3 linked regions of the Tamandua tetradactyla genome follow. The protein of the gene in region 3 purifies or fractionates together with the protein of the main gene of each other region. This does not show direct contact. Links are inferred from orthologs where the notes say so. Each region holds a gene or a part of one and is shown on either strand. Other genes may lie near its edges. The genes, in order: CTNND1, JUP and CDH5.

Region 1 (3,744 bases), on a different chromosome or scaffold from region 3:
CTCAGTTAATAGAAAACAAAAAGACTAGTTTCATCTGATTATTTTGATTACCCACAGTGAGTCAGGTCCTGGTGTAGATGTCAAGGATAATAAGATAGACATGTTTCCTGCTCTTATAAAGCTTACATTCTAGGATGGGGAGAGAAGATTAATAAATAAGTAAGATAATGTCAGATGGAATGCTATGCGGAGATTTAAAACAGATTGATGAGACTCCCTTGAGGCTTACTCTAGATAGGATGTGAAGGACAAACCCTCTGAAGAGGTGACTTTTAAACTGAAATCTGAATGATAAGAGGCCGACCATGAGAGGATATGAGCAATGGTAACTGCAAATGCCAAAGCCCTGAGGTGTGGGGCTGAAAATACTGCGTTGGGCAGAACTTGTCAGAAACAAGGATGGAGAAATTGATGAGGATCAGAGTATGAAGGGTTCTATAGGTCAGAGTAAATAATTTGGATTTTATTCTTAAATAGAGGAAAACCTGTGGGGTTAAACAGAATAATTACATGATCTAACTCACGTTTTGAAAAGATCTGGCTGCTTATGTGACAAACAGATTAAAGAGTGGGCAAACAGTGAAAAGCAAGCAGACAAAGGCTGTTGTAGGGGTCAAACTGCAGTGTTGGGGTCTTGGACTATGGTGATAGAAGTAAAAAAAAAAGGAGAGAAGTTAATGGGTTGAGGATATATGTTTTAGAGACACAGGGCTGTTTTTGTTTGAGATGCTTCTTTTCTCCTTTTCTGTCTCTGTTTCTTGTTTTGTTTTTTGTTTTTAATGCACGAAATATTTCAGCCAAAGCTTGGTTTTGCAACTCTCAAAGCTTAACTCCCCCACGCACCACCATCACTACATACATACATACACAGAAACACAAGATACCATAAGATGGTGAAAAATTAGGGGAGAACTGAGAGAGTGGGAAAAAGGTGTTTAAAAAAGAAATATTAGGGTGAGCCACAGTGGCTCAGCAGGCAAGAATGCTTGCCTGCTATGCCAAAGGACCGGGGTTCGATTCCCGGTGCCTGCCCATGTAAAAAAAAAAAAGGAATATTAAGGTTATTACACAGGGCAAGGTGCTGTGCTGTATCTTCTAAAATAAACTAAAACTAGAAAGGCCAAGGAGTGGAGATAAAAATAATTCAACTTCAAAAAATCACTGGCTATCCCCGTAAAGGAAAACAAAATAGTTTTACTCCTCTCTACCCTCTGGTAGCTACACATTACTATGTGTAATGTGTAAAAGTTTGTCATTTTGGAAGCCCTGGGTAGGACTGGCATTTATCATTCCCTTTAGAAATTCCACCAACACAAGATTTCACTAAAATGATGTTAGATTCAAAATAAAAACAAAAACTGATTCCTCCCGACTTCTTGAAAATTAATTTAATAGTGATGGAAATATACCCATAAGGGGATGTAATATTTATATTTTCTTTACAACTTCCACAGAATCACATATACTGATCCTCTGCCAGCCTAATCAAGTTTTGATTCTGACAGCAACAGAGGCCAAAAACAAGCATTGTTCTTCTGCCTTTCTTTTGGGGGTGTGTGCTGCTGACAACTGCTAAATTCCGCTAAGTTTTATGTCCTTTCACAAACTGCTTCCTCACCAAACTGCAACCGACAATGTCTTCTGTTCCTCCTTTCTTTTTCCACCCTAAGAGCAGAAGCCTCAAACTAGGGAAAAATACCAACCACTTGACTTAGAAATATCCCTTCCCACCGCCTCAGCCCTCCCATATGTCAGTGTGCCACCCCCAATCCTTTTTCAAAAGGGATTCGATATCGATCCACTTAAGATCTACTTGAGCACACTTCACTACTCACCTCTCTCTGGTCTGTGCTTTTCCAGGTTCCCCTTCTCTTGGACATCTTCCTTTCCTGGGCCTCGGTGGCGGCTGCTCGGTCGCAACTCACCACGCTTTGTCACCAGGGGTTTTGGACTCGGCCATGTGCATCTAGGGCTGGACGCCACGGGACATGCACCGAGGGACGATACCCCAGACCAGGATCCCGAGCTTCACTCACACAAGGAAACCGCTGGCCAGGAGCTTTCGCACGCAGCCTGTCATTCCGTGCAAATGCTTAATCCTGAGATCATTTCCTTTTGAGGACCAGTCCTGAAAACACCTATTCCCAGACAGACACTGCGCTACACAAATCACCTCTGGAGGAACCACGCCTGAAGGGAATTTCGGGCAATCCTCTTGGTCACCAGTTCTCCGGGGGCCGGGGCTGGGAGTAGATTCAGTGAAACACTCGAATTCAAAACTAGCCCAATGACCTTGTTCCAGAACATTCCTGGCCTTGGGAAAGGAATGTCTGAGCTAGAGGGATGCGGGCCGATGTGTGAGAGAGAGACCACCAAAGACTTTTTCCTCCATGAAGCCCGCAGCCCTTATAGCAGCCTCTTCCAGGGGGAAGAGGGAGCTGTCCTTCAACCGCCTCGGGGCCTGTGACCCTCTTTCCTGGGTGTCCTCCTCGAACTCAGAGAACACGACGGCTTCCCTGAGGGTTCCTCCCGAGCTGGCCCTGGCCATACGTCTCTCCTCAGCCCTCAAGTCCCTCGAGAGTTAGCCTCCCGCCCAAAGCTCTCCTCCTCCTGTGATTGGCTCTCCGTGGAACCTCCAGCCAATGGGGAGGACGTACTCAGGCAGACGTAGGCCGGCTTGGGGGGGGCGAGGACGTCGTCCCCCGCGACGCTCCTCACGCGAGGTAGGCGCGGCGCGTGACTCGTGGTCTCGCCGCGTGGCCTCGGGCGCTAGCTGTCACCGCTGCCCGGTGCATGTGGGCACCGTGGCCCGTGGCCGTACGAACGCACCAGGGAGTGACTGCAAACCCCATGTGGCCTCGAGGTGGCAGTGAGGGCGAGCCCTGAATCCCGGCCCCCAGGATCACCCACGCTCCATTCCCAGAAACCTTCGCGCGCCGAGAGGTCTGTCTTCAAAGGAGTTGGGCCCGGGGCGTGCGGGGCGCCCAGCTTTGCAGGGCCTTTCCTGAAGCCCCGTGCCGGCAACCCCGATTCCCTTGGTTCTGGAGGTGGAGGGGCACTGCCCCGGCCGTCGGCCTACCTGTGATGCTTTGCTAAACCTTTCTGCGGAGAGGCTGGACTTTGGGAGGCAGCAGGGCAGGCTGGACAGAGGACCCAAGCACAGAGAAAACGGCAAGAGTAACTCCTACTGCAGATCGATTCCAGGTTAGGCCTGGGGACAAAGCCGTTTGTCCGTGGGCTGGAAAGCTTCCCCAGGGCCTAGGTTTGGGTCCTTGGGATAGCTGCCAGATCAGTTGGCTTTGATCCAGTTGGCTCTGATCAGTTGGCTCTGATCCGAGTTGCCCTATCCTTTCCTGTCCACTCTTTTCTTTCCTGACAGTTCTGACCTGAAGCATTAGAACCCTCGGTGCCACCTGACAGAAAACTGCATGCCAGTAAAGGGACACAGCTGTGCAGTGAGTGTGGGAATTTCAGTGCAACCAGCTGGAAAAGTAGGAATCCTGAAGTCAGGATTTGCAGTTTGTTTGGGGAGGGATAGGAAGCTTAACTATCCTTGCCCCAGGATAGTTAATTCACCACTAAGGAACCTTAAGGCCAAATTATTTGCCAGTTTCCAGTGTCATTTGGGTTCACTGTGTTCAGGAACCTCTGAGCCAAGAGTAGCCAGTGTTCTTATTTCTGTGGGAGACCTTCCACCACGTCCAGCAAGGCTTCTCTTCTTTTCTGTGCACCCTCTGCTGGTTA
Region 2 (3,744 bases), on a different chromosome or scaffold from region 3:
AAAGTTACTGTTTATCAAGTACTCCCTGGGCAGATAGGTACTATTGTTCCTCATTTTGTCAAAGAGGTCACTGACACTCAGAGAAGGGAAACGACTTGACTACGGTCACATAAGTAATGAGTGACAGAGCCGAGATTCAAGCCTAGCTCAGGCAAAGTCCAAATCCCTGTGCTGAGAATTTTACCCCACTGAAATGCCTTTTCCAGTAACCACCCCTCAGCAGGCCAGTGCGTGGCTGTCTCCTTTTCCAAGAGCTCCCGGGCCGGCAGAGCCCCTCCCCTCGTCTGTGCTCCCTCCAGGGGCCTGCAGCGAGAGCCCAGCCCCAGCCTGACCTCCTAGATTCCTACTCACAGCATTCTCAAAATCTCAGTCCTGGCGGCCCAAGCAGGGTGCTAGAAGGTGGAGCTGGGGGTGGGGTGGGGGGCGGGGGCAAGTGGAAAGGGTTCCTATCACCCAAGCTGGGGCTTGATCCAGCAAGAAATGACTAATCCAATCCTACCTTTTCTTTCCTTCTCCCTCCTCTAATATCCTCCTCCTCCCCTCCAGCAAATAGCCAGCTTTCACAAGCACCTCCTAGCAATAGTCCTGAGTATTATCTTTTCATCAAGGCCCCAAACCAGATTACCTAAACGAATCATCCGGCCAATGTAATTACAATGCCTTCCCCTCCTCCACCAATGCACTGCGAGGAGAAGCGAAAACAGGATATTTTTGCCCAAACTCCAGGCCCCTGTGGCTCCCAAGAGGTGTAGTTCCCTACCAGTCCCTTCCCCAGCCCGGACTACTGCACAGGAATGAGCCCTGGGGGAAGAGGTGGGGCTGAGTTACTGGTTTGAGACCCCCTCCTCCAACTCTCCATCCACAGCCTGGAACAAGGCGGTGGCATCTTCCCAAGCGGGCCTGGGTAAGCAGCTGGGATTCTCCCCTCTAATCCCCACTTCGATCCTAGGACTGAGGGAAAGATGGGTCTTACATATCCCCACCCCACCCCCAAGGACTGGACTGCTGGACTTGTAAAAAAGCCACACCTCGGGTTTTTAGAAGGCAGCGTGGAAAGCCTGGTTGAAATATCCAGCTTGGGTGCAGGAGTTGGGAGACGTTCCTCAGGAAATAGGGGGAAGAGGTTCGGAGGGGACTCTGCTCCAGAGAGCCTAGTGTCGAACAAACTTCCCTCCAAAAGCATTCCTCCTGTCCCACTTTCGCCATCAAAATCTCGCAGGAAGGTGGGGTGGGTGGTAAAAGGGCTGCAAAAGCTTCCAGAAGGAATGTACCTTTATACTTCAGAAATCAAGTAGAAATCAAGACCCATTGCTCCATGCTCTTCTGCCTCAATTACCAGGCAACTAAAGAGCATGAGGGATGGGTGGAGAAAGAAAAAGACAAGAACAGCCCATCCCCGTTCCCAGTCTGGCCCAGACCTGCCCCACCCCCCATTCCTGGGATGGGGGTGCCCAGAGCTCGGGAAGGAAAGCCTCCTCCGAGGGGGTGTGGTGGTCCCAGGAGGCAGGAAGAGAAGGAAGAAGCTGCTTCCCCTTTTGGCCCACAGCCCCCACCCCAGGCCCCACCTCAGGCCCCTGGGGCCCAGCAAACAGGATGGAGGCTGGGCTGGGGAGGACAGGGTCTAAGCACAGGGCTGGCCCTGGTCCAGCCTGGGGCCAGCTGGGGGAGGGGCTCTGCCCTCTGCAAGAAGGACCCCAGAAGCCTGGGGTAGTTCTGGGCAAGGAGACAGGAAAACCCCCAGAGAAAGCAGCAATGAATACTTCTTCCTAGAAAGTTTGCTTTGAGTGATTTTTCCAATAATAAGATGTTAGAGAAGAAGGGTAGTCCTGTTTCCATATTAACATTCTGGAAGTCACAGCTACTGGAAACTGGGCCAGGTGACCTCTCTGCTCAGATTCCCAAACACAGACCCCCTCCACCCAGACAGAGCCGAGCCGCGGGTGCAAACATCAGCTGGCGCAGACCCGACCCTGCACAGCCCCACGGTCACCCCATCTCGTCTCCCCTGGGAAGCCGTAGCCCAGCGCCCACGGAACGGAGGGAGGTGCCCCAGGTACAGTACCGACCGGGCTCCGGGAGTGGGAGGGCAGGGCCTCTGGCCTCCTTGCGCTCACCTGCTCGGCAGGTGGGGACCGCGTCGCTGAGAAAATGTGTGTTCGGCCCCCAGAGTTGGGCAAGCCGGGCGCAGACAATAGGGCCCCACCCAGGCCTGGGGGAGGAAGGAGGGAGGGAAAGCGAGGATGACGCGTGGGGTGGGGTGAGGGTGGCCCCAAAGAGACCAGCGACAGCAAGTTTCCCAAACAGTAAATTTCCCACTGTAGAGTGAGTGCGACCTGGGACCCAGGCACAGCTGGCCAAAGCCTGCTCGGAAGGCGCGGAGAGAGAGGCAGGGACCCGGCGTCGGGAAAGCTCTGCGGCCCCCGACGAGAGCGCGACCCGGGAGGCACCTGCCCTGATCCCTCCCAGCCCTTCTCACATCTCCCTCTCCTAGAGTCCCAGTCGCGTTCGGACCAAACCTCGCGCCCCTTTAGTCGCCGCGCCCAGGTCCCAGCGCGCCCCCTGCCGCTGGTGCAGGGTGGCGCCCCCCTACCGCCCTCCCTCACCTGCCCTGAGTAGGCTGGGAGCGGCCTCCCTGTCCCTAGCCGCCGTTTCTCTCTCCCCAGTGATACCTGCCCCCGATCGTCCGCACCTGCGTATGAAACCTGGCCGGGCAGGGTCGGGGACGGGCCGGGATCGGGGCCGGCGCGGGAAGCTAACTGAACTCGGCGCGCTCGGGCGGCGGCTGCTCCGGACTCTGGCCAAGGCAGCAACTCAGTAACCGAACAAAAGGCGAAGGGACCTGACAGCCAAGACACGCCTTTCGCCCCCTTGAAGCTCCGCCCCCCAGGGAAACGCCCACCCGCTGAAGCGAGTTAACTGGCTGCCGCGCCTGACAGTCCCAGCGAGGGGCGGAGCCTCGCGCCCAGTTTTCTACCACGGCCGCCTCTGTTTATCCGCTCGCCATTGGCCCCAGGGACTGCCAGTCGGCTCTGGGGACTGACTCTTAACTTCAGGTCCCATCCTAACTCCGCACCTACTGGCTAATAAAAGGTTACTTCCTCCTGATTGGGCAAGGGGTTGTCAGTAAGACTCAGGAAAGACCAATGGGAGAAATGGGGTGTATCTTGCCCCACCCTAGCTCTGAGCAGGTAAGACTCATTTACTCTCCCCCCTACCTGTCCAACAGGTGAGTCAGGGAGCGCCCTGGGAAAGGACAGACGCCTTCAGCGGCCAGCCAACTCAGCTACCAGCCAACTCAGCGTCAAGCATGATGCTTCTTTGGGCTTATTCACCCTTGTTCCAAAGTAGTAATAAAATATTTGTATCGCATTTCTGAGAGTTTTTTGATGGGTTGGGATTTTTCCCCAACAAAAGATGCCATGCTCATGGGATTTAGAATTAGAAGGCCTGGATTTGGATTCTGCCACTTATTAGCTATATGATGTCTAAGATGGGTACATTAATTATATCCATCTCACTGGAGTATGTGGAAGTTAAAAGAAGTAAGATTTGTGATAGCACTTGGAGAACTAAATGTTAGACTTTAACTATATGTTTTTTTAATTCTCAATACAATTCTAAAAAATTGTTAGGGCAGCAGAACTATGTTTTATTTCACAGATGAGGATACTGAGGTTCAGAGAGGTCACAGAACTAGAAAGTGGCACATCCTAAGCCAGAAGCCCTTTCTTCTAATTCCAAGGA
Region 3 (3,744 bases):
ATCCTCAAGTTAACATGCCCAGAACAGAAAAATCTATATCCCCTCCCCGCCCCCAAACACCAATTCAGCCCATCCCGCATCTCCATACAGTCCTGGGGCCGGGCCCCCCTCTCAGGGCCTCTGTTTATCCAGCTGTATGATGGGACAAGCTCAGGATTTCCCACCGTTCATCTATGGAAAGCCAGGGGCCTCTAGGCCAAGGACAGATTCCCAGGGCCTGGCCAGGGAGATTCCAGATCAGCTGGTTGGGGGGAGGGAGCGGCAGGTCTAGGTACCTGTGGTTTCTAAAAGCCCCCAGATGGCTCTCACAGCTAACAGAATCTGGACCTCCACTGCACCCCCCAGGCCCCAGGCAGGCACCCCTCCCACCCTCAGCATCACTATGTTCTAAGCCCTGCTCTGATTCTTATTTATCCCAATAACCTGTGAAGTTGAGGCATATATATATATGCCCATTTTACAGATGAGGAAGCTGAGGCTCAGGGAGGGGTACTACTAGGCCATGGAACACCAGAAGCAAAGCCAGTACGCTTGGCTCCCACCCAATATTACTAAACCCCAACAGTGGTGGGCGCCTCAGAGCTGGCACTCACCCCCATCCCCATCAGGGGCCCACCGGTCTCTCCAGAGCCAAAAGTGGCTGTTTCCTGCCTCCCACTCACCCCAACCCTGAGGCCCCTGAACTCTCCCCATTGCCTGGAGTCACCCCTCTTCATTCCCCTGCTCCCCAGCATATCCTAGGTCCCAGAAGAAGTCTCAAGCTTGATTTGGAGCTCTACGTTACCCCAGCTAGGTGGACAAGCGTCCTAAACTCGCTGAGCTGTAAATCGAGGGTGAGGATTCCTGCATTCAGGGTGACAGTGAGGGTTAGGCCAGGCCCTCGGCAAGTGCCGTGCTTGGACTCCGGAGCCTGAAGTCTGGAGGTGGGGGTCTGAGTTCAGCTCCCTCAGCCAGGTCCCAGGCTCGGCCTCGGGGGGACAGCCCGGCCGGGCCTGCCTATCTGCAGCCAGCCCCGGCTCACAAAGGAACAATAACAGGAAGCCATCCCAGGGGGAAGTGGGTCCAGGCCAGCTGGAAAACCTGAAGGGGCGGCGGCCCGGCCTCCCTCGCCGGGCCGGGTGTGGCTCCCCTCGAGAGGCGGTCGGCCGAGCTCCACAGCACACACAGCCCAGGACAGACGGTCAGACAGAACAGAGGCCCTGCTCGGCCCCCAGGCACGGTGAGTGAGGGCTTCCCGCACCCCACCCCACCCCCAGCCCAGGATGGAGGCTCCTCAGCTTCCCGATCTGTGGAATGGACACTGCTGGGTTCCCCCAGGGCAGAAGGGGCCTCCCCAGGCTCAGCTGGGAAGGGTGCCTGCCGCAGGTACACACAGCGGTTCTAGGTGCTGGGGGGGGGCGCATTCAGCCCACCCACAGATGGGCTCCCCAGCTCGGCGTGGTCCCCGGGGCCCACTGAGCCTCGAAGACCACTGGTTCTATTGGTGCCCAGAGAGAATGGGACTGTCCCCGAGTCACCGGGCACACCAAGGGTAGAAGACTGGCACCCAGGGCCTGGCTTCCCCGTCCCTTCCTTCCCCGACAGGAAAGGATTTACCTCGGCCTGTAGCCCCGTTCACTCCCTCCCACTGGTCTCAGGTCTGCACAAGGATGGGCGAAGGAGCCCCAAAGGGGGAGCTCTAAGCCTCAGCCATCTCTACTAGCCAGTGCCCCTATTTTCAGGATAGGCAAGCCGAGGCTCAGCACTGAGCTCCTGAGGCCCTACCTGTGGTTTCTCCCTGCCCCCAACGCCACAGAGGTCCCCTCAGGCCATGAGAGCTGCTGTCAGGAAAGCCGCCCACCCCTACCCCTCCCCCCCCAAAGTGCAGATCCCCAGGGCTGGGGCCTGAGGCCCTGTGGCCTCACTTCTCCAGGAGGCCCGGAAGACCTGCAGGGCCCCAGCTTGGGGACAGTGGACCTGGGAGCAGAGCTCAGCCTTCCCCTCACTTCCCCCAGGACCTCGGGAAAGTCACCTGAAGCCTCCAAACCTCAGTCTGCTTGTCTGAACAACAGAGAGACAGACTCTTGTTGCAATCCATTGTGAGAACTAGAGGTGACGCCCACCGAAATGGGGTTCGTTATTTTACTATGATCAGCCTTCTTGGTGGAGGCAGCAGAGCTGTGGAGACGTAAGAAGTGGAGGGGGATTCGAACTAGAACCCTAAATTCAGGCTTCTTCCAGCACCCCGTAGCTTCTACAAGTCCGTTTTCTGTAAAACGGAGGAAAGAGTCTTTTCAGGAGTCAGTTAAATGATGGGGTGCTCAGCCCCCCGCATGTGAGTAGTGCACAGAAGGGGGACCTTTAAGGAATCGTGGCTGGTGGCTGGCATGGTTGTGAATGTTGTAAAGGTGTTTTTGGCACCTGAGGCACGGCCCAGGGTGTCGTGACTGGTCCCCAGGCCCGCCCCTGGCAAGGGGGTCGCTGGGAGATGCGGGTGAGACGCTGGCCAGTCACCCGTTCCTTGGCAGGCACTTCAGGAGGGCAACTATTCCATGCCCGGCCCTGTACTCAGCACCCACCTTCATCCTCCGGAGGGGGCGAGGGCAGGACACGGTTCCTGCCGCGTGTGCTGGGCATATAGGATCTGGCAGGAGACAAAGGGCATGCCTGGGGAGCCGGGAAAGCCCAGGCCGCTGAGAGGACTCGGGAGTCTGGTGTAGCCAAAGTGTTCTTTAGACCAGGGAGAGAGGAGGCAGGACTGGTGGCACTGCAGACCACACATGCCAGGACCAGGAGCTTTGGTTCACCCTCCAGCCCAGGCAGCCATGAGTGTCTCCTCTGCCCGGCCTGCACCCAGCTCACCTGTAAACCCCCACCCTGGAGGGCAGCAGGTGCCCCTCTGAGGGTCTAAGGAGCTGCTGAGCCCCCAAACAGCACTGCCAATCCCAGCTGATGGGGAAGAAGTGTCTACCGCCTGGGAAGGGGTTAAGCTGCCTACGGTCTCCACCTGACCAATTGTGCTGCTGAACAAGAGCCGGACATGAAGGCAGGAAGCTGCAGGGGCCATACGTATTTTCTCCCAAAGTCGGATGACTCATAGCTCTGCTGCTGGCCTGGGGACGCACAGTGGACACAGCGGCCACCAGCCCAGGAAAATTCTCAGGGCTCTTGCCTGGGTGGACCCATCCCTCCTACTTCCATCACCTCTCTGCAACCCCAGGCATGCCTGCAAGAAGTTGCATTTGACAGATGGGACAGTCTGAGGCCACACGGCTAGTACAAGGCGGGAGCAGGACACAAATGAGTCTCTGTCCCTTCTGACCCCACAGCCATTGCCACACTCCCAGATGGAACTCAAAGAGAAAGAAAGTCAGGGAAACATGAACCTGATTGTTCAGGCCACAGAAGCAGGCAGGAGGACGAGCCAGGAACCTGACGATGCTGAGGAAGGAATGTCCTAGGGGACTGGGTCTGCACACAGGGGCTTGGGGTCTGGCTAAGGAGATGACAAAACACCATGCCAACCCAGGCCTAAGCTGGTGTCACATGGAGAAATCACAGAGGGCTGCCTGGAGGAAGAACAGGAGCTTCAGATGCCATGGGGCCTTGGACAGCCCTTCCACACTCTGGGCCTCAGTTTTCCTATCTCTCTAGAGCAAGGGATGGACCCCAAAGTTTCTAAGCTCATTCAGGGACCCCCAAATTTTTTGCTTTGGGCCACAGCAGTAACAGTCACATGCAGGCAAGTGCAGATGCTGGAAAGAG

The links.
Region 1: the proteins of CDH5 (region 3) and CTNND1 purify together in Homo sapiens (affinity purification with western blotting; 3 studies listed by BioGRID and IntAct, counting the BioPlex papers as one, with this or other methods). This does not show direct contact. The link is inferred for Tamandua tetradactyla from reciprocal best matches to the Homo sapiens genes CDH5 and CTNND1.
Region 2: the proteins of CDH5 (region 3) and JUP purify together in Homo sapiens (affinity purification with western blotting; 3 studies listed by BioGRID and IntAct, with this or other methods). This does not show direct contact. The link is inferred for Tamandua tetradactyla from reciprocal best matches to the Homo sapiens genes CDH5 and JUP.

Annotation. Positions count from the first base shown.
Region 1 is NC_135335.1:19,845,440-19,849,183, forward strand, and holds the start of CTNND1 (catenin delta-1), read right to left. Parts: upstream 2,558-3,744; 5' UTR 1,881-2,557; coding exon of another isoform or gene 1,836-1,880; intron 1-1,835. UniProt on the Homo sapiens protein: Key regulator of cell-cell adhesion that associates with and regulates the cell adhesion properties of both C-, E- and N-cadherins, being critical for their surface stability.
Region 2 is NC_135332.1:25,405,232-25,408,975, reverse strand, and holds the start of JUP (junction plakoglobin), read right to left. Parts: upstream 2,850-3,744; 5' UTR 2,670-2,849; exon of another isoform or gene 2,664-2,669; intron 2,225-2,663; exon of another isoform or gene 2,063-2,224; intron 2,054-2,062; exon of another isoform or gene 1,924-2,053; intron 1-1,923. UniProt on the Homo sapiens protein: Common junctional plaque protein. The membrane-associated plaques are architectural elements in an important strategic position to influence the arrangement and function of both the cytoskeleton and the cells within the tissue.
Region 3 is NC_135342.1:59,935,628-59,939,371, forward strand, and holds the start of CDH5 (cadherin-5), read left to right. Parts: upstream 1-1,119; 5' UTR 1,120-1,219; intron 1,220-3,744. UniProt on the Homo sapiens protein: Cadherins are calcium-dependent cell adhesion proteins. They preferentially interact with themselves in a homophilic manner in connecting cells; cadherins may thus contribute to the sorting of heterogeneous cell types.